Anolis sagrei: one gene and its partners. The protein of the gene in region 3 purifies or fractionates together with the protein of the main gene of each other region. This does not show direct contact. Links are inferred from orthologs where the notes say so. Each region holds a gene or a part of one and is shown on either strand. Other genes may lie near its edges. The genes, in order: PATL1, NUFIP2, DDX6 and ATXN2L.

Evidence for each region.
Region 1: the proteins of DDX6 (region 3) and PATL1 purify together in Homo sapiens (affinity purification with mass spectrometry; 6 studies listed by BioGRID and IntAct, with this or other methods). This does not show direct contact. The link is inferred for Anolis sagrei from reciprocal best matches to the Homo sapiens genes DDX6 and PATL1.
Region 2: the proteins of DDX6 (region 3) and NUFIP2 purify together in Homo sapiens (affinity purification with mass spectrometry; 6 studies listed by BioGRID and IntAct, counting the BioPlex papers as one, with this or other methods). This does not show direct contact. The link is inferred for Anolis sagrei from reciprocal best matches to the Homo sapiens genes DDX6 and NUFIP2.
Region 4: the proteins of DDX6 (region 3) and ATXN2L purify together in Homo sapiens (affinity purification with mass spectrometry; 6 studies listed by BioGRID and IntAct, with this or other methods). This does not show direct contact. The link is inferred for Anolis sagrei from reciprocal best matches to the Homo sapiens genes DDX6 and ATXN2L.

What each region holds. Positions count from the first base shown.
Region 1 is NC_090021.1:234,834,486-234,842,015, reverse strand, and holds the start of PATL1 (protein PAT1 homolog 1), read left to right. Parts: upstream 1-4,526; 5' UTR 4,527-4,600; coding exon 4,601-4,615; intron 4,616-7,530. UniProt on the Homo sapiens protein: RNA-binding protein involved in deadenylation-dependent decapping of mRNAs, leading to the degradation of mRNAs. Acts as a scaffold protein that connects deadenylation and decapping machinery.
Region 2 is NC_090031.1:34,092,707-34,099,554, forward strand, and holds the start of NUFIP2 (FMR1-interacting protein NUFIP2), read left to right. Parts: upstream 1-3,844; 5' UTR 3,845-4,055; coding exon 4,056-4,374; intron 4,375-6,848. UniProt on the Homo sapiens protein: Binds RNA.
Region 3 is NC_090027.1:43,713,505-43,721,391, reverse strand, and holds the start of DDX6 (probable ATP-dependent RNA helicase DDX6), read left to right. Parts: upstream 1-4,882; 5' UTR 4,883-5,088; intron 5,089-7,887.
Region 4 is NC_090026.1:22,718,069-22,725,830, reverse strand, and holds the start of ATXN2L (ataxin-2-like protein), read left to right. Parts: upstream 1-4,762; 5' UTR 4,763-5,728; coding exon 5,729-6,000; intron 6,001-7,762. UniProt on the Homo sapiens protein: Involved in the regulation of stress granule and P-body formation.

The DNA of each region.
Region 1 (7,530 bases), on a different chromosome or scaffold from region 3:
CCACAGATATATAAACCAATTTTCCTAGTTTCAACAGACCTCACTACCTCTGAGGATGCTTGCCATAGATGCAGGCGAAACGTCAGGAGAGAATGCCTCTAGAACATGGCCATATAGCCCAAAAAACCTACAACAACCCACTATTTTTATAATCATTATTCACAAGCTATTGTACACATAGTCCTGAAATAATGTCCTGGGAGTTCAGTGGTGGTGTGGTTTGAATGTTGGACTATGATTTAGGGTTTGAATACCACGTAAAACCACTGGATGGTCTTTGGAGAGACAGTCTCTCAGAGGAAACTAAAGCAAACCACTGAAAAAGTATTGCAAAGAAAGCGCTAGGATAGGATCACACTAAGTCTGAGTCAGTTTGAAAACATAGAATAGCAACAACCTGGATTTGTCTTTAAAAAATTTCACCAGAGAGGTAGTGTGGAATATGGTTTGAACATATAACTACAACTCAGACCAGTGTTTGATTCCCTGTTCTTTTCTTGCTGTTAGTGATAAGCTACAGCAGGATCCAGTGTGGGGGTGGAACTAGGTAGCCCAAACAAAAATCAAAATCTAGATCTGAGTTCGAGGAGATGGTTTGTATAAGGAGAAGTGAAGATATCATTTCTCCTTATGAATTATATTTGTATGTTTTGTTCATCTTCATTCTAGTGATCAACACTGGTTGACATGTGTGCCACTTTGAGTCATAGCCCATGGACCAACACTGGTCTAGGAGCTATTTGATACTGTCAGCCACAGGTTTCCAAGGATGTCTCAAAGTGGGCTGTAATATTAGGGTTGGATAGTCTGAATGGCCCTGTTTATCCCAACTCTTCTGTGATGTAGGTTTCTCAGCCCTAGGGGTGAGAAAAATGGTATATAAATACTGTAAATAAATAAACAACTTATGGATGTTTTTCTTTTTCTCTTTTGCCAGTCTTCTCTCAGCTCCTCCTTAAAATGAAATTAGATTTAATCAGCAGCCTGATTAACTTTCTTATTTTAGGATGGAGTTCCTAGAATAAACCTTTTACTTTGTTTCTGCAAGCCATTAGTGTCTCCTCTTCTTCAGTAAGGATCTGTAACTGCGGCATGAACTCTCTATTAGTATAGGGATGGGAGGGAGATGCCAATCCCCAACATCAGATAGCCTGCAAAGCTTTCAACCCTTTATTGGCTCATACTGTCTGGCAGGGATGAAGCGAGGAGGAGGTCACCATTGCCTCCCCTATGGAATTTGGCTTCAACCTCTAAATTTCTAGCATTGCAGTCATTTAACCCTTCAGTTGGGCACTTAGAAATACAATTCAGTATCCAAAGAAAATAGGCACGCAAAGTTTTTATTAGGGAGAGTGATTTAATTTGTCCAAATGATAGCTACATTCCTGGGGAATTAATCAGAAAGGACAATTGCTTTTTTTCTTCTTCTTGGGGTGATTTCCTCATAGGAAACAAGCCTTAAAGGGTGTGATAAGCAACACCTGGAGCTTGTTAATTAAGAACAGAGAATGATGGAAGTTGTTCCAGATCTTCTTGAGAGGAGGGAAAATCCAGAGGCCAACATGGTCCAGAAAATGGGTCTTTATGAGAAGAGTGACCATTAAGTTGTTAAAAGGTGAGTAGAAGCAAAATAGTATATTATTTTATTAAGTCCCGATGTCTGGAGGTTTCATAGCCATGCAGCTAAATGGAGTTCAGAAGCTATAGGGGTTTCCTAGAGTTGCTGAAGGCTTTATGTAGCCTTTAGGTAGCACTTGACTTTTCCACCCCTGTCCTTCAATATGGCATCTAAGGAACCAACTAAAAACACTGTACTTTGACCATATGTGTTTGAAAACACAGAGTATGCATTAATAATAATAAAAAACTTTATTTATACTTTGCCGCCATCTCCCCAATGGGCACTCAGAGCGGCTTACATGAGGCCAAGCCCAAACACAAATTACAACAGCATAAAACTGAAAATGCAACCTGAAACCACAGACAGTAAACAATACCATCATAATTACATAAAGCATGTAAAAACACAACAGTATAAAATTACAATAAACACAATCACAGTGGCAATGGGTGGGCTACATGGAAAATTTAAAAGAAAAAAAAACTGATTAAAACTTGAGTGAGATAAAGAAGCCGGTTATTAATATGCAGATTGCTATTGAAGAGTAGGTAAGGGATGTTTTCATGACTGTTGGTACCTCTGCAACACCACAAGGTTTTTCTGGCCAAAAAAGGTGAATTTTTGTGCCCCGGAAGCCTCTAGCAGCAATAATATACCTTTCAAATAGACTGCAAGGCCTCCTTGCACTGTTTAGAACTGAAAATACCCAGAAGTGGAATTCCAATGTTTGGAGGGTTTTAGAGCATTAAAGTGGCCCTTCACATTGCCACAGTTACCCACCACTTAGGGTCCTTCAACATTGCCATATAAACCGGAATATCAATGCAGATAACCTACATTATTTACTTTGAACTAGATTAGCCAAGTCTACATTGCCATATAATCCACTTCAAAGCAGATAACATGGATTTTATACAGCTGTGTAGAAGAGGCCTTAATTTCTGCCCTCCAACTATCCTGGTTTTGCAGGGATTGTCCTGCTCAATCCTCTGTCCACCCACTGCTGCTTTTAAAACATTCCAGTTCTTCTCTATCTTCGATGTTCCCATTTTGTACTCAATTGCTAAGTTACAACAAACCGTGAAGTACGTACTTTAATTCAATTCAGTAGAGAGAGGAAAATGTGTGATCTTGTTTTTCTTAATAGGCAAAAGCAAACTGCTGCATCCTTTCCTTGCTTGCGTGGTCTTCCTCATTAGTAACGTTTTCTCTCATGGACAACTCTTGATGACATTTCCTCAAGAAAGGCCACACATTTCCCAATTTTCATGCGTGGAATGCTGTAAGAGTGATATTACATTCAAACATAATGCTGCAAGACGTGTGCCTCGACTTGCATCATAACTGTGGGTTCTAGAGTTACTGTGGGTTTCACAGGGTTCCAAACCTATGAAATGGGCCACCTATGGAGCAGTATATAAAATAATATACATTTTGGGTTGCTGTGAGTTTTCTGGGATGTGTGGCCATGTTCCTGAAGCATTCTCTCTTTACATTTAGCCCACATCTATGGCAGACATCTTCAGAGGTTGTGAGGTCTGTTGGAAACTAGGCCAGTGAGGTTTATATCTCTCTGGAATGTCCAGGGTCGGAGAAAGAACTCTTGCCTGCTTGAGGCAAGTGTGAATGTTGCAATTGATCATCTTGATGAGCATTTAATGTTCTTGTAGCTTCAAAGCCTGGCTGATTGCTGCTTGGGGGCATCCTTTGTTGGGAGGAATAACTTTTTCTGTGCAAAAGTCACAATTCTTCAAATCCTAAATAAAAATACATACTGAGATATTTGAATTGCAGGCAGTCCCCGAGCAACAAACATCCAACTTACAAACTATTCATATTTATAAAAACAGGGGTGAGGCAACAGGAAGTGAGAGAAATCTACCCCTCAAAAGCAAAATTCATTCCTGAAAGAATTTCCATGGGGGGAAAGTGTTCTAACTGAAGTTTTCTTGCCATTCCTTGTTTCCACAACAAGCCACATTTTTCAAAATCCAATTATCACAGCAACAGAAACTGAAGTGAAATCTTCATAACAGTGGCAGAGACAGCAAAACAAACACCACGGGGCTGTTAGCCCTTCCCTGTGCTAAAAAAAGAGCTAAATGCAGTATATTAGCTGGAATTACACTTACAAATGTATCTGTTCCAACTTACAAACAATTCAATTTAAGAGCAAACCTACTGAATCTATCGTTTGCAACTTGGGGACTGCCTGTATATGACTTCGAGGCATTTTTGGAAAAGTTGCCTTTTCTGGAATTAACTGGGGGCCCTTCCACACAGCCCTATATCACAGAATATCAAGGCAGAAAATACCACATTATCTGAGTGTGGACTCAGATAACCCAGTTCAAAGCAGATATTGTGCGTTATTCTGCCTTGATATTCTGGGATATTGGGCTGTGTGGAAGGGCCCTGGGTTATACGAGTCCAAACTGTGGGCCCTTCCACACAGCCCTATATCACAAAATATCTTTGAACTGGGTTATCTGAGTCCACACTCAGATAATGTGGGATTTCCTGCCTTGATATCCTGGGATATAGGGCTGTGTGGAAGGGCCCTGAGTCCACACTCACATAATGTGGGATTTTCTACCTTGATATTCTGGGATACAGGGCTGTGTGGAAGGGCCCTTGGATGTATTTTCCAGTGCTGTAATTTCTGTGTGATTTCAAGGCTTGTCGAGGAACTCAAACTAAAGCGCAGTAGATCGCCCCGCCCTAGAGGAAGAAAAACTAAGCGGTGTCCCTTTAAGACAGGACTCCTCCCTTAGAGGGGAAAAAGAAGCGCTTGCCCTTTAAATAGCGGGACTTGGGCGCCGGATGCGGGTGCTGGTGCGCATGCGCGCCGAAAGTAGCTACGCAAGAGGAATCCTTGCGTCCGCCCGGAGACGTCAAGACGCAGCACAGCGCAGCGGAGGGGGCGGGGGCCCGGGACTGAAGCGAGGGTCCGCGCGGAGCCTCCGCGCCCCGCCAGCCATGTTCCGCTACCAGGTGAGGAGAGGCCCCGGGAATCTCGTGGGCTGCCGGGCTTCCGGGGCCATTGGAGGCGGCGGCTCTATGGCTGCTTCTCCCTCAGCCTTGGGCCGAGGGAGGAGGTGGCGGCGGAGCGAAAGAGGTGACCTTTGACCCTCGGGGGGGGGGTTCCTGCCTAAGGAGGGCCGTAGCGGACAAAAGAGTTCCTTTCGCGCCCGCTCATGGTGTGATTTGGGCGCGAGCCCGTCTAGGCTTGGTGAAGGCGCGGAAAAGAGGGAGTCTGGGGTCTCTACGTTTGTGGCTTTTCTCTTCCTCCCGGTTCACATGCATCTCCTTTAGACATAACAGCAACCGAGAGGACGAGGTGCCATAGCAACGCCCCCCTCAAACTTTGTCGTCTCATCCTTAAACAAGCGGATAAACTAACAGTTGCCTTTAGGAAAGGGATCGTTTTGTTGCTAGGTCGGCTGAGGGGGGAAAGGAAGGGGCCTGAGGCTGTTAGGAATTCTGGGAGTTGAAGTCCAAAACACCTGGAGGGCCCAAGTTTGCCCAGGCCTGATATGCACTCTAGAATTGATCCTGTTTGATACTACTTGAACTGCCATGGCCCAATACTATGGAGTCATGGGAGTTGTAGTTTTGCAAGATCTTGGCCTTTTCTGCTAAAGAGCACCAAGGCCTTAGCAAACAACAATTCCCACTACTGCAGATATTTGCGCCAACAAAATACTTTTTGCAAAAAAAAAAAAAAGGTAAAAAGTAAGATTTTAAAAATATAGAGATAGGAAGTAAGCGATAATAATTTCTGTTTATAAGTGTATGCTATGCTTGATCTGTCTTGCTACCCTTTTGTTTTGAGAAGTGAAACCTCAAGCTTTGGAGAACATAGAAGGGAGAGAACTTTCTACAGTGGAGTAGATTGGATTCTGATGAAGCAGCAACTTGTGATGCTTGTGTTGTGAGCTAGTATGTATTGTAATCTGGGCATGCTAATACAAGGTGCTAGATCACCACTGGGACCACCTTTACTGGCTTGTGCAAGAGTCTTTGCAGGTTGATCTTTAAATCCTCATATGGTGTCAGCTTTTCCAGTTTCTCGACCCATACTTTGTTTTTTAACACGATCGTGAGGTCAGGAGTATTGTGCTCCAAACCTCTGGCTGTCTGAATTCGGAAGTCCCAGAGGAGTTTGACGTGTTCATTTTCTGGCTTGTGATCCCACCAGTTCTTTGTCGCAGGCAGATGGTATTTGTGGCACAAGTTCCAATGAATCATCTGAGCAACGATGTTATGCCTCTGCTTGTAGTCTGTTTGCATGATCTTCTTGCAGGAGCTGAGGATGTGATCTAGTGTTTCATCTGCTTCCTTGCAGAGTCTATACTTGGGATTATTATTATTAAGCAGTTTCCAACATAATAATGGCAAAATTCAATGCCATACATACACGTGAGACCAAAACATAATATCTAGACATTACATATAACTATAAAGTAAAAACATTAATCATATTAAAACATAAAGCACAAACAACATTCAGACATTAAAGCATCTTAGTATAAACATTAAAATCACATACAAAATTGGAATCCGAAGCCATTCCAGTTATCAATTGCACATATTCCCTATTCAATTCTTGCACTGCTCGCTGACCAAAGGCTTGGTCCCACAGCCAAGTCTTTTCTCTCTGAAGGCCAAGAGGGAGAGCGCTAATCTAATTTCACTGGGGAGGGAGTTCTACAGCTGAGAGGCTACCACTGAGAAGGCCCTGTCTCTCGTCCCCACCAACTGCAGCTGTGAAGAAGGTGAGATCGAAAGGAGGACCTTCCCAGAAGATCTTAAGCTCTCCATAAGATCTTAGCTTTAGGAATCATAGAGTTAGAGGAGACCTCAACGACCATCCAGTCCAACCCCATTCTGTCAGGCAGGAACACACGATCAAAAGAATCCCGATAGATAGCTTAAAAACCTCCAAAGAAGGAATCTCCACCACACACCAAGGCAGCATATTCTACTGCCAGACAGCTTTTGCCGTCAGGAAGTTCTTCCTAATGTGGAGTCTCTTTTCCTGTAATTTGAATCTGTTGCTCTGTGGCCTAGTCTCCAAAGAGCAGAAAACAATCTTAGTTTTCTCTTAGCTAAATTGTATGCCTACCAGCAATGCAAGAATCTAGGAGACTGTTTTATTATTTTTATTACTTCATTATTGTGATGGAAAAGCTTTTCCTACATATAATATATCTTGATTATGCAGTAAATTCTCACATGATAAGTTGTTGAAGCAATTCATCTTTCTCCCTGAGTACTGTGCCTGTGGCATGAATGGCATAAAGACCCCACACCAAGGCCCACCCTCCAGAATATTAGGTTCATGGCTGGTCTCCTGACTGCAAAAGTGATAACTAACAAAACTAATCTTTGCCCTAAGGCTTTAGATGAGATGGAGAGGAGTCTGAATTGATTAAATGCCTTTTGAATTCCCTTATTCCATTCTATCAAATGATAGTCCCTTTTATATTAGTTTTCCTCATCTGCCGGAACCTTCTGCCAGCAAGACTGTCTCTTCTATAATAGAACTCTGCGAAAATATTCAAAGACACAGCCAAATTAGTCTGGATTTTCAGTATGCAAAGGGATCTTTATAAATTGAAACAATTAAGGTAGTATAAGGTTTTGTAGACTGGATGTTCATCTACACTGTAGAGGTAATGCAGTTTGAAACCCCTTCACCTGCCATGACTATGAAATCATGAGAGTCATCATTTGGTGAGGCACCAGCACTCTTTGGCAGAGAAGGTTAAAGACCCTATAAAACTCCAATTGCCATGATTCTGTTGCATTGAGTGATGGCAATTAAACTGGTGTCAAACTGCATTACCTTTGCAGTGTAGATGTATTAGTCTACGTCCTCAGATCTGAAGATGTACCTGAGGAAT
Region 2 (6,848 bases), on a different chromosome or scaffold from region 3:
AGGAAAGGAGAGGAAGAGAGAAGAAAGGAAAGAAAGAGAAGAAGGAGATGAAGAGAGAAGGAAGGGAGGAAGGAAAGAAAGAAAGAAAGAAAGGGAGGAGAGAGTGAAAGAAGGAACGAAAAATACAAGAGAGAGAGGAAAGGAAGAGAAAAAGGAGAGCAAGAGAAAGGAAAGACGGAGAGGAAAAGAGAAGGAAGGAAAGAGAAAGGGAAGGAAGAAAGATGGAAAGAAAGAGAAAGGAAAGAAGGAGAGGAAGAGAGAAAAGAAAGAGGAAGGCAAGAAAAAGGGAGAAAGGAAATAAAGGAAAGAAGAAGAGGAAGAGAGAAGGAAGGAAAGAGAAAGAGAAGAAGGAGCAGAAGAGAGAAGGAAGGAAAGAGAGAAAGGAAAGGAGAGGAAGAGGAGAAGAAAAGGAAGAGAGAAGGAAGGAAAGAGAAAGGAAAGGAAGAGAAGAAAAGGAAGAGAGAAGGAAAGAAAGAGAGAAAGGAAAGAAGGAGGGGAGAAGAGACTGGAAATATGGGAAGAGAAAAAAGAAAAAAGAAGGGGAGAAAAAGGGAGGATGGAAAGAAAGAGAAAGAAAAAGAAAGAGGGAGGAGAGAGTGAAAGAGGAAGGAAAGAAAAATACGAGAGAGAGGAAAGGAAGAGAAAAGGGAGAAGGAAAGGAAGGAAAGAAGGAGAGAAAAAGAAGGAAAGAAAGAGAAAGGAAAGGAGGAGAGAAAACGAAGGAGAAGAAGGAGAGGAAGAGAGAAGGAAAGAAAGAGAAAGGAAAGAAGGAAAGGAAGAGGGACAGGAAATATGGGAAGAGAGAAAAGAAAGGAAGGGGAGAAAAAGAGAGGAAAGAAAGAAAGAAAGAGGGAGGAGAGAGTGAAAGAGGAAGGAAAGAAAGAAAAACAAGAGAGAGAGGAGAGGGAGAGAAAAAGGAGAGTAGGAGAAAGGAAAGAAGGAGAGGAAAAGAGGAAGAAGAAAAGGAGAGAAAGAGAGAAGGAAGGGGAGAGAAAGGGAGGAAGGAGAGAAAGAGGGAGGAGAGAGTGAAAGAGGAAGGAAAGAAAGAAAAACAAGAGAGAGGGGAAAGGAGATAAAAAGGAAAGAAGGAGCCACCCCACAAAAGTCCCCGAAGGGTCCAGAAGAAGCAGAGCTTTTTCCACATCTGCCTTTCTCAGAAGAGGAGGAGGATGAAAGAGAAAGGGAAGAAAGATGGAAGGAAAGAGAAAGGAAAGAAGGAGAGGAAGAGAGAAAGGAGAGGAAAAGAGAAGGAAGGAAAGAGAAAAAGGAAAGGATAAGAAGAGAAGAAGGAAAGAGAAAGGAAAGAAGGAGAGGAGGGAAAGGAAAGGAAGAGAGAAGAAAGGAAAGAGAAAAAGAGGAAGAGAGAAGGAAAGAGAGAAAGGAAAGAAGGAGGGGATGAGGAGAAGGAAAGAGAAAGAGAAGGAGAGGAAGAGGAGAAGGAAAGAGAGAAAGGAGAGGAAGAGATAAGGAAGGAAAGAGAAACAGAAGAAGGAAAGAGAGAAAGGAAAGAAGGAGGGGAAGAGGAGAAGGAAAGAAAGAGGAGGAAGAGAGATGAAAGGAAAGAGAAAGGAGAGGAGAAGGAAAGAGAAAGGGGAGGAAGAGAGATGGAAGGAAAGAGAAAGGAAAGAAGGAGAGGAAGGAAATGAGAGGAACAGAGAAGGAAAGAAAGAGAAGAAGGCGAGACTGGAAATATGGGAAGAGAGAAAAGAAAGACGAAGGGGAGAAAAAGGGAGGAAGGAAAGAAAGAGGAAGAGGGAGGAGAGGGAGAAAGGAAGGAAAGAAAGAAAATCAAGAGAGAGAGGAAAGAAGGAGAGGAAAAGAGGAAAGAGAGAAAAAGGAAAGAAGGAGCCACCCCACGAAAGTCCCAGAAGGCTCCAGAAGAAGCAGAGCTTTTTCCACGTCTGCCTTTCTCAGAAGAGGAGGAGGAGGAGGAAAGAGAAAGGGAAGAAAGATGGAAGGAAAGAGAAAGGAAAGAAGGAGAGGAAGAGGGAAGAAAGGAAAGAGAAAGGAAGGGAGAGGAAGAGGAGAAGGAAAGAGAAAGGGGAGGAAGAGAGTTGGAAGGAAAGAGAAAGAGAAGAAGGATAGGAAGAGAGAAGGAAGAAAGGAGAAAAGGAAATGATAAGAAGAGAGGAAGGAAAGAGAAAGAAAAGAAGGAAAGGAGGAGAGAAAAGAAAGGAAGAGAGAAGAAAGGAAAGAGAGAAAGGGAGAGGAAAAGAAAGAAAGAGAAAGGGAAGAGGGAAGGAAGGAAAGAGAAAGGAAAGAAGGAGAGGAAGAGAGAAGGAAGGAAAGAGAGACAGGAAATATGGGAAGAGAGAAAAGAAAGAGAAAGAAAGAAGGAGGGAGGAGAGAGTGAAAGAGGAAGGAAAGAAAGAAAAACAAGAGAGAGAGAGAGGAGAGGGAGAGAAAAAGGAGAGCGAGAGAAAGGAAAGAAGGAGAGGAAAAGAGAAGGAAGGAAAGAGAGAAAGGAGAGGAAGAGAGAATGAAGGAAGGAGAAGGAAAGGAAGAGAGGAAGAAGAAAAGGAGAGGAAGAGAGAAGGAAGGGGAAAGGGAGGAAGAAAAGAAAGAGAAAGAAAGAGGGAGGAGAGAGTGAAAGAGGAAGGAAAGAAAGAAAAACAAGAGAGAGAGAGGAAAGGAAGAGAAGAAGGAAAGAAGGAGAGGAAAAGAGAAAGAGAAAAATGAGAGGAAGAGAGGAAGAAGAAAAGGAGAGGAAGGGAGAAGGAAGGGGAGAGAAAGGGAGGAAGGAGAGAAAGAGAAAGAGGAAAGAAAGAAAAACAAGAGAGAGAGGAAAGAAGGAGAGGAAAAGAAAAAGAGGGAAAGAGAAAAAAAAGGAAAGAAGGAGCCACCCCACGAAAGTCCCCGAAGGCTCCAGAAGAAGCAGAGCTTTTTCCACGTCTGCCTTTCTCAGAAGAGGAGGAGGAGGAGGAAAGAGAAAGGGAAGAAAGATGGAAGGAAAGAGAAAGGAAAGAAGGAGAGGAAAGGAGAAAGGAGAGGAAGAGAGAAAGAAGGAAAGAGAAAAAGGAAAGGATAAGAAGAGAGGAAGGAAAGAGAAAGGAAAGAAGGAGAGGAGGGAAAGGAAAGGAAGAGAGAAGAAAGGAAAGAGAAAAAGGAGAGGAAGAGAAGAAGGAAAGGAAGAGAGAAGGAAAGAGAGAAAGGAAAAAAAGGAGGGGATGAGGAGAAGGAAAGAGAAAGAGAAGGAGAGGAAGAGGAGAAGGAAAGAGAGAAAGGAGAGGAAGAGATAAGGAAGGAAAGAGAAAGAGAAGAAGGAAAGAGAGAAAGGAAAGAAGGAGGGGAAGAGGAGAAGGAAAGAAAGAGGAGGAAGAGAGATGAAAGGAAAGAGAAAGGAGAGGAGAAGGAAAGAGAAAGGGGAGGAAGAGAGATGAAAGGAAAGAGAAAGGAAAGAAGGAGAGGAAGGAAATGAGAGGAACGGAGAAGGAAAGAAAGAGAAGAAGGCGAGACTGGAAATATGGGAAGAGAGAAAAGAAAGAGGAAGGGGAGAAAAAGGGAGGAAGGAAAGAAAGAGAAAGGGGGAGGAGAGAGTGAAAGAGGAAGGAAAGAAAGAAAAAGAGAGAGAGGAAAGAAGGAGAGGAAAAGAGAAAGAAGGAAAGAAGGAGCCACCCCGCGAAAGTCCCCGAAGGCTCCAGAAGAAGCAGAGCTTTTTCCACGTCTGCCTTTCTCAGAAGAGGAGGAGGAGGAGGAGGAGGAAGGGGCGGGCACGCGCACTCCCTCCCTCCCTCCTTCTTCCCTCCTTCCTCTCTTCCTTCCTTGCCTTGCCTTGGGAAAGCGGAAAGAAGGAGGTGGGACCTAAAGAGAGACCGGAGAGGCTTCTGATTGGTCTGAAGGGGGAGGGAGAGAGGTGCCAATCAGGCGGGGGCGCGCTTGTCTTGGGCCCTGCGCGCGCTCCCGAGCCAACGAGGAACTGCTCCTTCTTCTCCTCCTATTTCTTCTCCTTCTTCTTCTGCTGCTACTGTTACTCCTCTGTGTATCTGTGTTGATACATTTTTGCTATTTTGTGGCAGAGAGAGAGAGAGAGAGCGAGCCAAGAGGGGGGCTTTTCAATGGAGGAGCAGCACCCTCTCCCTCCTTCCTCTGCATCGCACCACCATTCCCATCATCCCCACCACCACCACCATCACCACCACCACCACTACTACTACTACAACCACAACCACCACCAGCATCACCAGCATTACGAAGGAGGAGGAGGAGGAGGAATTGGAGGAGGAAGCAGCAGCAACCATGGGGCCAATGGGAATGAGAGGAAGGCCCCTTTGGCCCCACAGAGGAACCCCAAACACGACCCCAGGAACGGGGGGACAGTGGGGAGCTTTGGGGGGAACCCCCAAGCCGCCCAGGAGCCGACCCGAAGGAGAACAGGTGGGTTTTCCGCGGGGGAGTAAACCGTGCGTAAAAAGGCACCTCTCCAAAAAGGGACCCCTCTCCGAAGGAGAGGGGTCCCTTTTTGGAGAGGTGCCTTTTTACGCACGGTTTTTGGGGTACTTAACAACACCCCATCGAAACGATTTTTAGGGTGTTTATACATAAAACGATGGGGAACACGATCCCGTTGGAATGGGGTCGCTAGGGTGTACACGCGAGGCGTGGGAACGTCACGAAGAGGGTCCCCCTATCCCCCTCTCCATTTTTTCCCCTCTTTTGCGCCTTGGCTAGGCGCGGCCAAGGCGCACAGGAAAAGGTGGTTGTGGGGGGAAAAATACCGTCTTTTGGGGGGTCTGGAAAGGGAAATTCGCCCCCTATGGGTACAAGGGACTCTTGGGGGGATGTCTAAAGGATGGGGTGCCCGCTTTGGGGTCGGGAAAGGGGTGCAAAGCCAGGCCCAAAAGGCGCCTCTCCACGCGCCTTCCCAAGTCTCGCCCCACCCAAAGGGAAGCACAAGGGAAGAGGAATGGTATTTTTGGGGGAGGGTGGATTTGAAATATTTTTTGGGGGGTCTTTAGGTTTTCTATGGATGGAGGGAAGGTTTTGGGGTACCCTAAGTAGGGGGGAAAGGGGGGAAATAGAGCCAAAGGCGAAGGAAGAGAGCCAGGGAAAGGGGAGACCCTTCCACAACACCCCATATTTTTGGATAACTTATTGCCTTTCCAGAGGAAGATCAAGTCTGATTTTTTGGGGGGATACTTCAACAGCACCCCCATATTTTGGGGGGACACTTACTGTTTCAAGGCCAAGGAAGAGAGACATGGAAAGGGAAGATCCTTCCACAACACCCCATATTTTTGATAACTTATTTCCTTTCCTGAGGTTCAAGTCTGGGTTTTTTGGGGGGGATATTTCAACAGCACCCCCATATTTTGGGGGGACACTGTTGCAGTTTCAAGGCCAAGGAAGAGAGCCAGGGAAAGGGGAGACCCTTCAACAACACCCCCCATATTTTTTATAACTTAATTGCCTTTCCTGAGCTTCAAGTCTGGGTTTTTTGGGGGGTGATCCTTCAACAGCACCCCCATATTTTAAGAGGATCCTGTTACTGTTTAAGGGTCAAGGAAGAGAGACAGGGAAAGGGAAGATCCTTCCACAACACCCCATATTTTTGGTCAACTTATTTCCTTTCCAGAGGAAGATTAAGTCTGGTTTTTTGGGGGATCCTTCAACAGCACCCCCATATTTTGGGAGGACCCTGCTACTGTTTAAAGGCCAAGGAAGAGAGCCAGGGAAAGGGGAGATCCTTCCACAACTCCCCTATATTTTTGGATAACGTTTATTCCCAGCTACATCTGAGCTTGAAGGTTGGTTTTGGGAGGGGGGTCCTCCAACAGCACCCCCATATTTTGGAGGGACTGTTGCAGTTTCAAGGCCAAGGAAGAGAGCCAGGGAAAGGAGAGACGAATCAACAACACCCCATATTTTTGCATAACTTAATTGCCTTTCCAGAGAAAGATCAAGTCTTTTTATGGGGGATACTTCAACAGCACCCCCATATTTTGAGGGGACACTGTTACTGTTTCAAGGCCAAGGAAGAGAGCCAAGGAAAGGGGAAACTCTTCTATAACACCGCATATTTTTGACAACTTATTTCCTTTCCAGAGGAAGATTAAGTCTGTTTTTTTGGGGGAGAGGTCCTTCAACAGCACCCCCATATTTTGGGGGGACATTGTTGCAGTTTCAAGGCCAAGGAAGAGAGGGAAAGGGGAGACCCTTCCACAACACCCCATATTTTTGGATAACTTAATTGCCTTTCCAGAGGTTCAAGTCTGGGTTTTGTGGGGTGATCCTTCAAAAGCACCCCCATATTTTGGGAGGATTCTGTTGCTGTTTCAAGGCGAAGGAACAGAGCCAGGGAAAGGGGAGACTCTTCAACAACACCCCATATTTTTGGATAACTTAATTACCTTTCCAGAGCTTTAAGTCTGTGTTTTTTTTGGGGGGGGGATCCTTCAACAGCACCCCCATATTTTGAGAGGACATTGTTGCTGTTTTGCATTTCTTTAAGGGATGGATTCTAACACTTTTAGGGTGTCCCCTACTTTTTGGGAACCTTCCCAATGGAAAGAGAAGTTTTCTTGGGTACCCCCCCAAAAGGACTTTCAATGGGTCCCCGTTTCTCTTGGGACCCCGCTTTTTTCTTAACTTTCCAAAGAGACTCTCAAGGGTCCCCCTTTTTGTCTGTGTATCTTCCAAATGGGAAAAGGGGACTTTTAGAGGTCCCCCTTCTTGGGAATCTCTCCAAAGAGATAGGATTTCTTCCTTTCAAGGGGTCCCCCCACTTTTCTGTGTACCTTCCAGATGAGGGGAAAAGGGACTTTGGGCGGAGTGATTATAGGGTTCTTTCCCCTATATGTGGGATGGTTTGGGGCTCCCCCCCCCCCCACTTGAGTATCTTTGAGGCTTTA
Region 3 (7,887 bases):
AATTAAGACATGGCAAATTCTAGGCTGGGTCAAGGAGCTCTTTTGTCCCCACTTGTTGGACGAGATTTCCCTGAGGAACAGGTCTTGCAAAGTCAAGGCAGCCATTGATGGAGTCTAATCATCATCATCATCATCATCATCATCATCATCATCATCATCATCTATATAAATAAAAATGTAATGTTCGTTTGTGGGATTAACAGAATTCAAAAACCACTGGGGGAATTGACACCAAATTTGAACAACATACACTTAGCAACCCAATGTGTGTCCTTCACTCAAAAAAAATAGACCTTGACACTTGGGAGTTGTAGCTGCAGGGATTTATAGTTCACCTACAATCAAAGAGCATTTTGAACTCCACCAATGATGAAATTGTTGTTTAGCTGTTATAATTTTAGAGTTTTTTAACACTGGTAGCCAGATCCTCCTCACCTTCATGTCCCCCCCCCCCCCCGCTGAAATTGTCGGACTACACAGAGAAGCCATTGAAATCCACAAGCATGTGGACAATTTCAGCGGGGGGGGGGGGGGGCATGAAGGTGAGCAGGATCTGGCTACCAGTGTTAAAAAACTCTAAAATTATAACAGCTAAACAACAGAGAGGAAAAAACCAGGCACAGATTAACACCTCCCAGCAACAGAATTTCCCAGGCTCAGGCAGGCCTTCAAATGCTAATGAAGGTGATCAGCTAAACATTCACACCTAACTGCAGCAGGGAAGAGCTCCTTGCCCCACCCCAGCCATTCCACATATATAAACCCATTGTCCTAATTCCAACAGACCTCACACCTCTGAGGATGCTTGCCATAGATGCAGGCGAAACGTCAGGAGAGAATGCCTCTAGAACATGGCCATATAGCCCGAAAAAACCCACAAGAACCTAATAATAATAATAATAATAATAATAATAATAATAATAATATGGTTTTCTGGCATTGTATATTTCTGCCGCTTTTGTGATTGTTATTTTGATTCTGTAGCCCACTTGTTGATAGATGTCCAGAATCAGCAGCATCCACCACGGTCTTTTTTATCCTGGGCATTGGCTGAGCCAGTATAGACTTTGTTTTGGTTTGCTTCTCCATAACACTAATGGGTTAGGTGCTCTTGGTTCCAATCTCAGCTGAGACCTCTCTGGCTTGGTTGGACCTGCTGGGAGTTGACAAGGAGAAGACCTGGTGATGGCTCACAAATGGAATCCTGAAGAAGGAGACAGAAGAAGGCCTTGTCGAAGGCTTTCATGGCCAGAATCACTGGGTTGTTGTAGGTTTTTTCGGGCTATATGGCCATGGTCTAGAGGCATTTTCTCCTGACGTTTCGCCTGCATCTATGGCAAGCATCCTCAGAGGTAGTGAGGTCTGTTGGAACTAGGAAAAAGGGTTTATATCTCTGTGGAATGACCAGGGTGGGACAAAGGACTCTTGTCTGCTGGAGCTAGGTGTGAATGTTTCAACTGACCACCTTGATTAGCATTTGATGGCCTGGCAGTGCCTGGGGCAATCTTTTGTTGAGAGGTGATTAGATGATTAGGTGATTAAAAACCATTGCAAAAAAAAAAATCAAATCATTAAAATAGATTCAACTGCCAACTTTAATAACAAATTAAATAAAACTTTCCCCCTCCTCTCTATGAATTCAACTGCACAGAAATTACTTTAAAATAATAGATTAAACTGCCTCCTTTTCTCTTTTGTATACATTCAACAAAATAGATTAAAAATATATTTAAAATTAAAAAATAGATTAAAATCCATCCTTTTATATTTTTTTCCTTTCTTTCTTGTATGAATTCAAATGCAAAAAATTATATAAATTTTTAAATAAACCACCAACTTTTCCCCTCCTTTCTATGAATTCAACTGCACAGAAATTACTTTTAAAAAATAGATTAAACTGCCTCCTTTTTTCTCTTTTGTATAAATTCAACAAAATAGATTTAAAATTTAAAAATAGATTAAAATCCATCCTTTTTTCCTTTTTTTTTTCTTGTATGAATTCAAATGCAATATATATAAACATCAAAAAAACCAAGATTATGGCAACAAGAATGATTGACAACTGGGAAATAGAGGGAGAAAATGTGGAGGCCGTGACAGGGTTTGTATTTCTAGGCGCAAAGATGAGTGCAGATGCAGACTGTGGCCAGGAAATCAGAAGACGCTTCCTTCTTGGGAGGAGAGCAATGTCCAGTCTCGATCAAAGAGTAAAGAGCAGAGACATCAGACTGGCAACCAAGATCCATTGCCTAGTCCAAGCCATGGTCTTCCCTGTAGTCACCTACGGATGTGAGAGCTGGACCTTAGGGAAGGCTGAGTGAAGGGAGAGAGATGCTTTTGAGCTGTGGTGTTGGAGGAAAGTGCAGAGAGTGCCTTGGACCGCGAGAAGATCCATCCAGTCCATCCTCCAGGAAAGAAAGCCCGGCTGCTCACTGGAGGGAAGGAGACTAGAGACCAAGAGGAAGTCCTTTGGCCACATCATGAGGAGACAGCAAGGCCTAGAGAAGACAATGATGCTGGGGAAAGTGGAAGGCAAAAGGAAGAGGGGCCGACCAAGGGCAAGATGGAGGGATGGCATCCTTGAAGGGACTGGACTGACCTTGAAGGAGCTGGGGGTGGTGACGGCCGACAGGGAGCTCTGGCGTGGGCTGGTCCATGAGGTAACGAAGAGTCGGAGGCGAGTGAACGAATGAACAACACACACACACACACACATATATATATATAACTAGCGGTCCCCTGCCACGTGTTGCTGTGGCCCGGTCTGGTGATCTGGAAAATAAAGTAATGAGAAAGTGTTGGTTTCTAATATCTGTCATGTCTTTCTGCTTGTGGGTAAACAGTATTTCTTCTTGTTTCTTTGTCAGTGTTGATGTGGAGAGTGTCTGGTTTGCCTACTCTGGAACATGCAACATATCATTGTCCTTCTTTAGGAGTCCCTTTCAGATCTTTGATACTGCATCTGTCATATACATATATGTGTGGGTGTGAATTCCTGGATGGCCCTTTGTCAGGAGGACTTTGATTATGTTTTCTTGCCCTGGTGAAGGGAGTTGGACTGGATGGCCTTAAGGTAGCATTTCTCAACCTGGGAAGTCAATACCGGGGGGGGGGGGGAGGTCACGAGGGGGGTGTTAGAAAGGTCACCAAAGACCACCAGGAAACACAGAATTTTCTGTTGGTCATGGGGGTTCTGTGTGGGATGTTTGGCCCAATTCCGTTACTGGTGGGGTTCAGAATGCTCCTTGATTGTAGGGGAACTATAAATCCCAGTAACTACGATTCTGAAATGTCAAGGTCTATTTCCCCCAAACTCCATCTGTGTTTATACTTGGGCATATTGAGGCTTCGTGCCAAGTTTGGTCCAGATCCATCATTATTTGAGTCCACAGTGCTCTCTAGATGTAGGTGAACTACAACTCCAAAACCCAAGGACAATGCCCACCAAACCCTTCCAGTATTTTCTGTTGGTCATGGGAGAACTGTGTGCCAAGACTGGTTCAATTCCGTTGTTGCTGGAGCTCAGAATGCTCTTTGATTGTAGGTGAACTATAACTCCCAGCTACTACAACTCCCAAGTGTTAAGGTTATTTTCTCCAAACTCCACCAGTGTTCACATTTGGGCATATTGAGTATTTGTGTAGTTTGGTCCAGATCCATCATTGTCTGAGTGCACAGTGTCCTCTGGATGTAGGTGAACTACAACTCCCAAACCAAAGGACACTGCCCTCCGAACCCTTCCAGTATTTTCTGTTGGTCATGGGAGTTCTGTGTGCCAAGATTGGTTCAATTCCATCATTGGTGGAGTTCAGAATGTTTTTGATTGTAGCTGAACTATAAATCCCAGCAACTACAACTCCCAAATGACAAAATCATCTTTTTTTGAGTGATCGTCACTCCTTGTGTAGTGAGACGTTTTGTTGCCAAATTTGGTGTGATTTCGTTCATTGGTTATTTTGTTTTTAAGATACTCATTATGCACAGAGAATATAGATAGATAGATAGATTGATTGATTTTTAGATATAGATAGATAGATAGATAGATATAGATAGAAGATAGATAGATAGAGATAGAAGATAGATAGATATAGATAGATAGATAGCGATAGATTAGATAGATAGATATAGATAGATAGATTAGATGGATAGATTGTTGTTGTTCATTCGTTCAGTCGTCTCCGACTCTTCGTGACCTCATAGACCAGTCCACGCCAGAGCTCCCTGTCGGCCGTCACCACCCCCAGCTCCTTCAAGGTCAGTCCAGTCACTTCAAGGATGCCATCCATCCATCTTGCCCTTGGTTGGCCCCTCTTCCTTTTGCCTTCCACTTTCCCCAGCATCATTCTCTTCTCTGGATAGATTAGATAGATAGATAGATAGATAGATATAGATAGATATAGATAGATTAGATGGATAGATAGATTAGATAGATTGATAGATAGATATAGATAGATTAGATAGATATAGATAGATTAGATAGATAGATTGATAGACATAGATAGATTGATAGATTAGATAGATAGATATAGATAGCGATAGATAGAGATAGATAGAGAAAGATATAGATAGAAGATAGATAGATAGATATAGATAGAAGATAGATAGATATAGATAGTAGATAGATATAGATAGAAGATAGATAGATAGATAGATAGATAGATAGAGAGAGAGAGAGAGAGAGATTAGCTGCTTCCTTCCTCTCCTTGCAACCCAAACAAAACGAAAAGGGGGCGTGCCCTTCACGAAGCCCCGCCCACGGCAGCTCTCCCGAGCCACTCAGAGGCGAGGCCCGAGCCGCCCTGTCGCCCCGCCCCCTTTTGGCAAGGCGCGCGTGCGCAGTGGGCAGTAGGCGGGGCCTGGTGGAGAGGAAGGACGCAAGGGAAGGAGGAGGAGGAGGAGGAAGGAGGGAGAGAGCGGCCATCTTGTTGTCGCGTCGCTGTTGCTGCCGCTGCCGTCGCCGCCGCCTCCCAGGCCGCCATCGTCCCGAAAGGAGCCAGCGGCCGAGGGCGGAGGCGCGGGAGCGCGAGAGCGGAGGGGGGAGCCCAGGGGCCGCAGCCGGAGGAAGGAGCCACAGCCGGGCGCGGGCGGGTAAGCTCCAACCCAGGCTCGAGGCCTGACGAGGGAAGGGAGGCCTCGCTGAGGGAAGGCCAGGGAAAGGGAAGCGGGGGGAAATGCAAATGGCGCCGCTTCCGGTCGGGGCTCGAAAGGGAGAGACGTCCCTCCTGAGTCAGGCCTCGCTCCTGACTCTCTGAGGGAGGTGCGGCCTAGCGGGGGAAGCGCATCCCCGGCCTCGCGTGGCGCGCTTCCCCGCCCAGCACGCACCCTGGCTCGGCCTCGCCTTCCCGCCCCCTCCCGCTCCCCCTTCTTTTTCTCCCACAAACTCTCCCCATTTCTTCTCTCCATCCCCAATTTCGGGATGCAGCCGACCTTTGTTTGCGCCCTCAACTCTTTTGGCGAAAGGGGCGTATCCTAACACAATATACAACAACATAATAATATTAATATAATGCTAATATAATAATAATAATAATAGTAATATTAACTGTATTTATACCCCGCTACCATCTCCCTAAGGGAGCCCACAGCACATCAGTAAACAAAAGCAATAGCAATAATCAATACAAAACAGTTAATATACACAATATACAATTATTATTCTTATATTAACCACAATATACAACACTATAGTAATACTAATATAATGCTAATATAATAATAACTTTATTTGTACCCCACTGCCATCTCCCTAAGGGAGCCCACAGCACATCAATAACAAAAGCAATAACAATAATCAATACAAAACAGTTAATATACACAATATACAATTATTCTTATTATTAACCACAATATACAACACTATAGTAATACTAATATAATGCTAATATAATAATAATAACTTTATTTGTACCCCACTGCCATCTCCCTAAGGGAGCCCACAGCACATCAATAACAAAAGCAATAACAATAATCAATACAAAACAGTTAATATACACAATATACAATTATTCTTATTATTAACCACAATATACAACACTATAGTAATACTAATATAATGCTAATAATAATAATAATAATAACTTTATTTGTACCCCACTGCCATCTCCCTAAGGGAGCCCACAGCACATCAATAAACAAAAGCAATAGCAATAACCAACACAATATACTATTATTATTATTGTTATTATTAACTTTATTTGTACCCCGCTAGCATCTCCCGAAGGACTCGATGCGGCTTACACAGGCCAAGGCCTGAATAAAAACACAGCATAACAACAATATAGTAATACTAATATAATGCTAATATAATAATAACAATAATAATAACAAATTTATTTGTACCCCGCTAGCATCTCCCTAAGGGAACCCACAGCACATCAATAAACAAAAGCAATAACAATAATCAATACAAAACAGTTAATATACACAATATACAATTATTATTATTGTTATTATTAACCACAATATACAACGCTATGGTAATACTAATATAATGCTAATATAATAATAATAATAATAATAATAATAACTTTATTTGTACCCTGCTACCATCTCCCTAAGGGAGCCCACAGCACATCAATAACAAAAGCAATAACAATAATCAATACAAAACAGTTAATATACACAATATATTATTGTTATTAACCACAATATACAACACTATAGTAATACTAATATAATGCTAATATAATAATAATAATAACTTTATTTGTACCCCGCTACCATCTCCCCAAGGGAGCCCACAGCACATCAATAAACAAAAGCAATAACAATAATCAATACAAAACAGTTAATATACACAATATACAATTATTATTCTTATTATTATTAACTTTATTTGTACCCCGCTAGCATCTTCCGAAGGACTCGATGCAGCTTACACTAGGCCAAGGCCTCAATAAAAACATAACATAACAACAATATAGTAATACTAATATAATGCTAATATAATAATAATAAAAATAATAATAATAATTGTATATTGTGTTAGGAGATGGTAGCGGGGTACAAATAAAGTTGTTGTTATTATTAACTTTATTTGTACCCCGCTAGCATCTCCTAAAGGACTCGATGCGGCTTACACAGGCCAAGGCCTCAATAAAAACGTAGCATAACAACAATATAGTAATACTAGTATAATGCTAATATAATAATAATAATAATTGTATATTGTGTTAGGAGATGGTAGTGGGGTACAAATAAAGTTGTTATTGTGTATTGTGTTGGGGAGATGGTAGCAGGGTACAAATAAAGTTGTTGTTATTATTATTATTATTAACTTTATTTCTACCCCGCTAGCATCTCCCGAAGGACTCAATGCGGCTTACACAGGCCAAGGCCTCAATAAAAACATAGCATAACAACAATATAGTAATACTAATATAATGCTAATATAATAATACTAATAATAACTTTATTTGTACCCCGCTACCATCTCCCCAAGGGAGCCCACAGCACATCAATAAACAAAAGCAATAACAATAATCAATACAAAACAGTTAAAATAAAAACTCAAAAACAAAAAATACACAATAAACAATAATAATATCAAAACATACAGAATTTAAAAAAGGATGGCAGGGCCAAATGTAATAATTAAATTAACAAATGTAATAATATTAACATAATACTAAAAATAATAATAAGACTTGTCCCCTGTGTTAAGCTAATAATATATATATTCATATAATAATCTTATATAAATATGTAATGTTCATTTGTGGGATTAGCAGAACTCAAAAACCACAGGACGAATTGACACCAAATTTGGACACAAGACACTTAACAACCCAATGTATGTCCTTCACTAAAAAAAAATTGATTTTGTCATTTGGGAGTTGTAGTTGCTGGGATTTATAGTTTACCTACAATCAAAGAATATTCTGAACC
Region 4 (7,762 bases), on a different chromosome or scaffold from region 3:
TGATTGCAATAATAATGGGCCATTGAATTCTGTCTTCTGACCGATATTGCTTTTAAGCATTAATGGTTCTGTATATCAAAATACTTTTAACGCTCTAAAATTCTAGCCAAAGATAGAGGAGGATACAATTTCGCCCACAACAAATTTTGGCTAGCTTGGTAGGACACCTACACATTGCCTTTAGATTCTTAGAAAGATGTCCACCTTTGTGCCAGCTTTCATCCAAAATGTAGTAATTATGAGATCTGTTTTCCAGACAGTTTTTATAGCATTGTTTCTAGGATATTTAATATTAATTAGCCAATCATACATTTCAGATGTATCACCTTTTGGGAATATTGGAGGTTTACACATCCCACATTATGTGTGCACTCTTCCAATTCGTTTCCATTGAGATTTTAGAAAGGTACGTGGCTATTTCTTAAGAGTCAATTCAAGACAACATTTTGCTGTTTAGTCCGGAGTATATGTAGAGGCAATGTTTCTTGCCTTTTTTTAAAGTCCTTAATTTTGAATAATTGGTGTTTTCTCCATGTTTATATTGATTACATTTTTCCAGATAAGAAGGGATGATTTAAGAGGAAACATGGGAAAATGATAGTATTGTAACAGTTGGTCATTGTTCCAATTTTCTCCCAGCCACTGCTATATTCTTCAGCTACCAAGTTGTCACATAAACTATCTATAGCAGGATCTCTGCTCTTATGTGTCTTCAAGTTGTTTCTGACTTATGATGACCCAATGGTGGGCCTATCACAGGGTTTTCATGGAAGAATTTGTTCAGAGGGGCTTTGCACTTGCCTTACTTCGAGGCGTGTGACTATGCTTGCTTTTTTTTTTTTTTGCACAGAATCTCTCCCACCTTGGTGTCCCCTTTCCAAACCTTAAGAAACTTATTTTCAATAATGTTGTGAATATTCTTGAATATTATTTTCATCTCAAGTAGTGTTCATCTGCAGCATTTACCAGAATTAATTAAATTCACTAACACTTTTACCTGTCAGAATCATAGCCTCTTCCAGACATATATTTACACATAAGTTTTTGTTTTGGGTAAGGTTTATTCACATGTTATATACATATAGGATTGCAGCACTAGCCTCCTATTAAAAACATCTTTTTTTAAAAAAAATCTTTATTGCAATTTTCTGTTAAAATATATCATAAAATATCCTAGAAAAGAAAAGAAAAGAAGAAGAAGAGGAGGAGGAGGAGGAGGAGGAGGAAGAAGAATTCGCCTGTCAGGAAAGAATTTGTTGTTGTTAACTGCCTTAAGTCAACTTTGATTTACGGTGACCCTATCAATGAGAGACCTCCAAGTCACCCTTACCAGTGATCCTGCTTCAGGCTTGCAAATGCAGGACTAACTTCCTTAACTGAATCTACCTGGAATGCAATTCTAAGCTGCATCAAGAGAGGTATACTAGATCAAGGGAAGTAATAGCTCTATCCTGCCTTGTTCACACCTCACCTGGAATACTATGTCCTTTTCTGGGTACCACAATTAGAGAAGGATGTGGTCAAGTAATCCTGAGAAGGGCAACTAGAATGATAAGAGATCTAAAAAACATGCTGTAAGGGGAGCGGCTTAAAAAGCTGAATATATTTAGCCTTCAGAATAGAAAATTGAGAGAAGACATGATAGCTATTAAGGGTGTGCAATTTTTTGTTAGTCTTTGTAAGTTGTATCAAATTTGTTGATATCCGACGTGCAGGCATGGCCCGCACCAAAAACTTAAGAATCAAAACCTACCCAATACTATTTCCTTTGAATATTTTAAATCTTGGAAGCCTCCCAAAATCAACTTCATTTTCAGCACAAACAAGCCAAGCCAAGCCATGCATAAATATGTGAAAAGGGGCAAACTTGTTTTTGCTGCTCCAGAGACTAGACTACAATGCAGCAATGGATTCAAATTCTCATGCCCATTCTAATCCACGTTATCAAAGCAGAAAATCCACATTCTCTGATTTGAGTGGATTATCTTAGACTGCACTGCCATATAGTCCAGTTCAAAGCAGATAGTGTGGATTAGAAGCCAGACTGCTATCAGGAGTGAATTACAGGGAGCTGTCTACCCCCGTTTAAGGAACTGAATTGGTTGCCATTAATCACCTACAAAGCCCTGGTTTGGGACCCAACTACCTTCGTGACCGCATTTCCTTTTACAATCCTGCGCAATCTCTTCAATCCTTGGGGGAGGCCCTCTTCTCGCTCCCATCTCCATCACAAGTGCGGCTTGTGGGGACGCGGGAGAGAGCCTTCTCCATTGTGGCCCCTCAGCTTTGAAATTCGCCACCTTGTGAGATTAGGCAAGCCCCCCACCCTGGCAGCCTTTAAGAAAGATCTAAAAACCTGGCTCTTCCATCATTTCCGTCCCACTTTCCCTTGTCTTTAATGAAGGCTCAATCCCACTGTTCGCCCCTTCTGAGCTCCCCCACAGACACATGTTGTTAATTCATTCAGTCGCTTCCGACTCTTCGTTACCTCATGGACCAGCCAACGCCAGAGCTCCCTATCAGCTGTCACCACCCCCAGCTCCTTCAGAGTCAAGCCAGTCACTTCAAGGATGCCATCCATCCATCTTGCCCTTGGTCGGCCCCTCTTCCTTTTTTCCTTCCATTTTCCTTAGCATCATATTTCTCCATTTACTTATCTCTCCCAGGGTTTTATCAGTCTTATTCTGTGCATTTAGCCCACCCACCGTGCTTTTATTTTATTTCTTCATCACTGTGTTTTGCATCTGTTTATATCATTTTCTGTTATTTAATTTTGTTGTTATTATTAGCATTTTATTTTATTGTACTGTAATTCTTGGCTTGACCTCATATTAGCTGCCCTGAGTCCCCTTCGGGAAGATGGTGGCGGGGTATAAATAAAGTTTAATAATAATATTATCTGCTTTGATAATCTGGATCAGGCATGGGCAAACTTCAGCTTTCCTCCTGGTGTTTTGGGCTTCAACTCTCACAGTTCCTACCAGCCTCAGGCCCCTTCCTTTTCCCCCTCAGCCGCTTAAGTCCTGAACCAGTGCTTGGTCGCTATAATGGACTGGATGAGGGACAACAGATTGAAACTTAATCCTGACAAGACAGAGGTACTCCTGGTCAGTCGAAAGGCCGAACAGGGCATAGGGTTACAGCCTGTGCTTGACGGGGGCACACTCCCCCTGAAGGCGCAGGTTCGCAGCTTGGGAGTGATCCTGGACTCATCGCTGAGCCTGGAGCCCCAGGTTTCGGCAGTGGTCAGGGGAGGTTTTTCACAATTAAAACTCGTGCGCCAGCTGCACCCGTACCTTGGGAAGTCTGACTTGGCCACGGTGGTCCACGCTTTGGTTACATCCCGATTAGATTACTGCAACGCTCTCTACGTGGGGTTGCCTCTGAAGACTAAGCTTCAATTAGTCCAACGTGCGGCAGCCAGGTTACTAACGGGAGCGGGGTACAGGGAGCATACTACTCCTCTGTTGCGCCAGCTCCACTGGCTGCCAGTCAGCTTCCGAGCACAATTCAAAGTGCTGGTCTTAACCTATAAAGCCCTAAACGACTCCGGCCCAATTTACCTGTCCGAATGTATCCTCCCCTATGAGCCATCAAGATTACTAAGATCATCTGGAGGGGCCCTTCTCGGTGGTGGCTCCTCGACTCTGGAACTCCCTTCCACTGGAGATCAGAACTGCCTCTTCGATCTTAACGTTCAGGAAACAGGTGAAAACCTGGCTTTGGGGATTGGCATTCAACGAATGAGCCATGATCCTGTGATATGGATGGATGACGACTAATAATGACTTTGATGACGACTGACCACTGTAATCATGATTGTATTTTTGACATTTTAATTGTTTCAATGTTTTAGTGTGATTTAGAAATATGATGTTTTAATGACGGTCTGTAATATTGATGTTGGAAACCGGCCCGAGTCCCTCGAATGGAGGTGAGAAGACTACAAAACTGCCGAATAAATAAATAAAATAATTAAGCGGCTGAGAGGGAAAAGGAAAGGGCCTGAGGCTGTTAGAAATTGTGGGGGTTGAAGTCCAAAACATCTGGAAGGGCCCAAGTCCAAAACACCAGGGCTTAAGCAGCTGAGGCGGAAGCAACTGAAATTCTCTAACAAAAAATGTGTTTTCCCCATTATTACAGATCTAATCTTATTATCTGTACTGTAACATACTCATATTTGTTAAAAATGTACTCTATAACACATTATAACTACGAATCTAAATACAAAGAAGGGGTGGCGTTGTCCTTGAGGTGGCTACGGCGCAACCCGCGTGACATTGAAGAACTGGGGTCACACGGGGTCAACGGCCTTCCAGCGACATCCGGGGCTTCAGCGCCTTGGCAGGAGGCCACGCCCCCCTAGCCATGCGCACTGCGAGGCTCCCAAAGGCTTATCCCTCCCTCCCGGCAGGTTTGTGCGCAAGCGCGGCGTTCCCACTTCCCTCTCTCTCGGGGTCCCGCGCCTGCGCACTCCGAACAGGCGATAACGAGGCAGGCCTGGGTCTTTGTTTCCTCTTGCGCATGTGTAGTGGGGGCCCTTACCGGAGGAACGCCTCCTTTCCCTTTCCCCCCCGCCCCCGCAGCCAGGAACCCGATCCTACACATTGGTCGGAGGGAGGAAGCGCTAGTGGGAGACGTAGGGAGGAGGAGGGAGGAGGGGCCGAGGGAGAGAGGGAGACGTAGAGAGCGTGCGTGTGCGCGCGCGGGAGAAGGAGGAGGGGCCGAGGGAGAGAGGGAGCGCGCGCGCCCTCTCTCGGCGCATGCGCAATCGCGAAGCCCCTCCTTCCACCAGGGACTCATTGTGCAGCAACCGGATTGACTCCTTCTCGTCCGCGCGGGCGCCAGCGGGATCCTGTACTACTTCCCTTTTTTCCTTAAAAGAGGGGGGGAAAAAAGAGGGGGAGGACAAAACAAAAAAATAACCACCTCTACAACCCGGCTCGACGGAAAACAAAAAAGGGGTTTGGAACCGTTTCGCGTCGGGAAAGGGGAAAAAAAGGGGGGTTGGCTTCTTCTCCCTCAGCGCCAACATCACCACTCTTCCCCCCGCCCCTCTCTCTCTCTCTCTCTCGCTTTGACTTCCTCCTTTTGCGCGTGCGCACACGGCTGACTTTCCCCCTCCTCCCCCAACCCCCACCTGCGCGGGTTTGAGCCTCTTCCTCGCGGCCTCTTGATTGGCTGAAGCGCGCGCGCTCGAGAAAGAGAGAGGGAGCGCGAGCCTTAGAACTTCTCTCCTTTCTCTCTCCTTCCCCCCTCCCCCCCCGCGACAAAAAAAGGGCAGGGCCAGGCGACCAATCAGAGGACGCGTCGCTCGCTCGCGCGCGAGCAAGCGTAAAAACCCGTTCCTTGGCCTCGAGGCCTACGTTGAAAAAGCGAAGGAACGAGCGCGCTCCCGACGCTCTGAGAGAAGGCAAGCAGGGAAGTCAGTCAGTCAGTGAGTCGCTCGCGCGCGCGCTAAGGCCTAGGCTAACGAAGGGCGGGAGTCGATTGAGGTTCTCTTCCTCCTCCTCCTTTAAGAACCCTCGTTTGTGACCACCCTCGCTGTCTTGTCTGTCTGTCAGTCAGTCAGCTAGGGAACTCCTTCGCCGGCCGGCTTCCCCTTCCGGGTTCAATTCGAACCTCCTCAAGGGAATCCTAGGCCTCAACGGCCTCCTGTGCGCCTGTGCTCAGGCAGGCAAGCCAGGCAGGCGGGCGGGCTCGGGAAGCTGAGCCTGTGGCGTCCGCCATGTTGAAGCAGCCGCTGCCGCCGCCCTCACCGCAACCCGCCCCTCCGGCTTCGGGCCCGGCGCCGGCCTCCGTGCCCACGCCGCCCCTCGCAGCCGCCGGCACCTCTTCGGCTACCGTCGCCGCCGCCTCACGGAAGGCCAACCCGCCGCCCGCCAGCCCCAACGGCAGCCTCAGCCCCGGCGCCGCGGGGGGAGCCCGGGTTGCCACTGTGGCGCCCCCCGGGAGCGGAGGAGGAGGTGGAGGAGGGACCCCGGGAGGAAGCGGGACGAGGTGGGTATCACTTTAATGTTACATCCGGGGAATTTGGGTACAGGGAGGGAGGGAGGTGCGTGGACGCGCAGTGAGGGGTTGAAGAGAGGACTTGGCCAGGCCGCGGGGAGGAGGGCGGGACCAAAGGAGTGTGCGGCCCTGATAAGCGGAGGCCCGAATTTCCGGGCGCTGATTGGGCTGCGCTCTAGCCAATGGGGTGCCCCGCCCCAGGGCGAGGGAGGGGGACAACATGGAGGGGGGCTCCCCTTGCAGAAATGGAAGACAGGCAGGGTTGGTGTGAGGTTTTCAGGCTTTATGGCCATGTCCCAGTAGCATCTATGTCAGGCCCTTTTCAGTGGTTCTCAACAGGCCCCTAGCCAGGATTTTGTTTCCGGGGGGTGGGGGGGGGGGCTGAGTCTGAGTGAAAGAGGGTCTGCCCTAGCAAACCTTTTGTATCATTAGGTTCTTGTAGGTTTTTTCGGGCTATAGGGCCATGTTCTAGAGGCTTTTCTCCTGACGTTTCGCCTGCACGTTTCGTCAGGAGAAATGCCTCTAGAACATGGCCCTATAGCCCGAAAAAACCTACAAGAACCTAGTGATTCCAGCCATGAAAGCCTTCAGCAATACTTTTGTATCATTACCCCAATACCCCCATGCATATGGGATATATTGAGCATGGTGATCATATCATGATATGAATAAACATAACAGTTTAAATAATGTACCAGGAAGGCCTTTTCGCGGACCACCATGAGAATTTGGGGGGGGGGGGAAGCCACCAAAGCCCCCCCCCCCCCCCCGCGGCTACATGCCTGGTTCTCAACCTGGGGTCCCCAGATGTTTCTGGCCTACAATTCCCAGAAATCCTAACAGCTGATAAACTGGCTGAGATTTCTGGGAGTTGTGGGCCAAAAACATCTGGGGACCCCAGGTTGAGAACCACTGCTTTAGGTGCTTTGGACTTTAACTCCCATGTAAGTTACACATATGTTACTGATCTCTGTTGCATCATAATAGACTCACCCAAGTCTTGTAGAACAAGGCTCTGCAATACATTTGAAATGCATTTTCAAAAGAAGTTATTATTATTATTATTAACTTTATTTGTACCCCGCTAGCATCTCCCGAAGGACTCGATGCGGCTTACAAAGGCCAAGGCCTCAAAACACAACATAACAATACAAAACCTAAAGCAAATTAAAAACAGTTAAAGCAATATTAAACAACAAGCAATAATCAGACATGGGCTAACTTCAACTCTCACAATTCCCAACAGCCTCTGGCTCTTTCCTTTTCCCCTTCAGTCGCTTAAGCATAGTATGTTTTGGGTTAAGCATACTATGAACCTCTCAGGACTTTAAGATCGTCTGGAGAGGCCCTGCTCTTGGTCTCGCCTTTGTCACAAGCACAGTTGGCGGGGACGAGAGACAGGGCCTTCTCAGTGGTGGCCTCTCGGCTATGGAACGCCCTCCCTAAGGACATCAGATCGGCCCCCTCCCTTTTAACATTTTGGAAGAGAGTTAAAACTTGGTTCTTTGAGTAGGCATTTGCAAATACAGAGTAACAGACATAGGAAAATGGAATGAATGACAATGTGACTGGACAATGTTTTTAATGAGGAGACCCTAATGATACGTATTTTTATTGATTCTGTCATGGTTTTATTATTCTATTGTTTTATTATATTGAAATTGTATTTTATGGTCTTGGTACCAACTGTAAACCGTCTCGAGTCACCTGCAGGCAGAGAGGGATGGTATATAAATATAGTAAATAATAAATA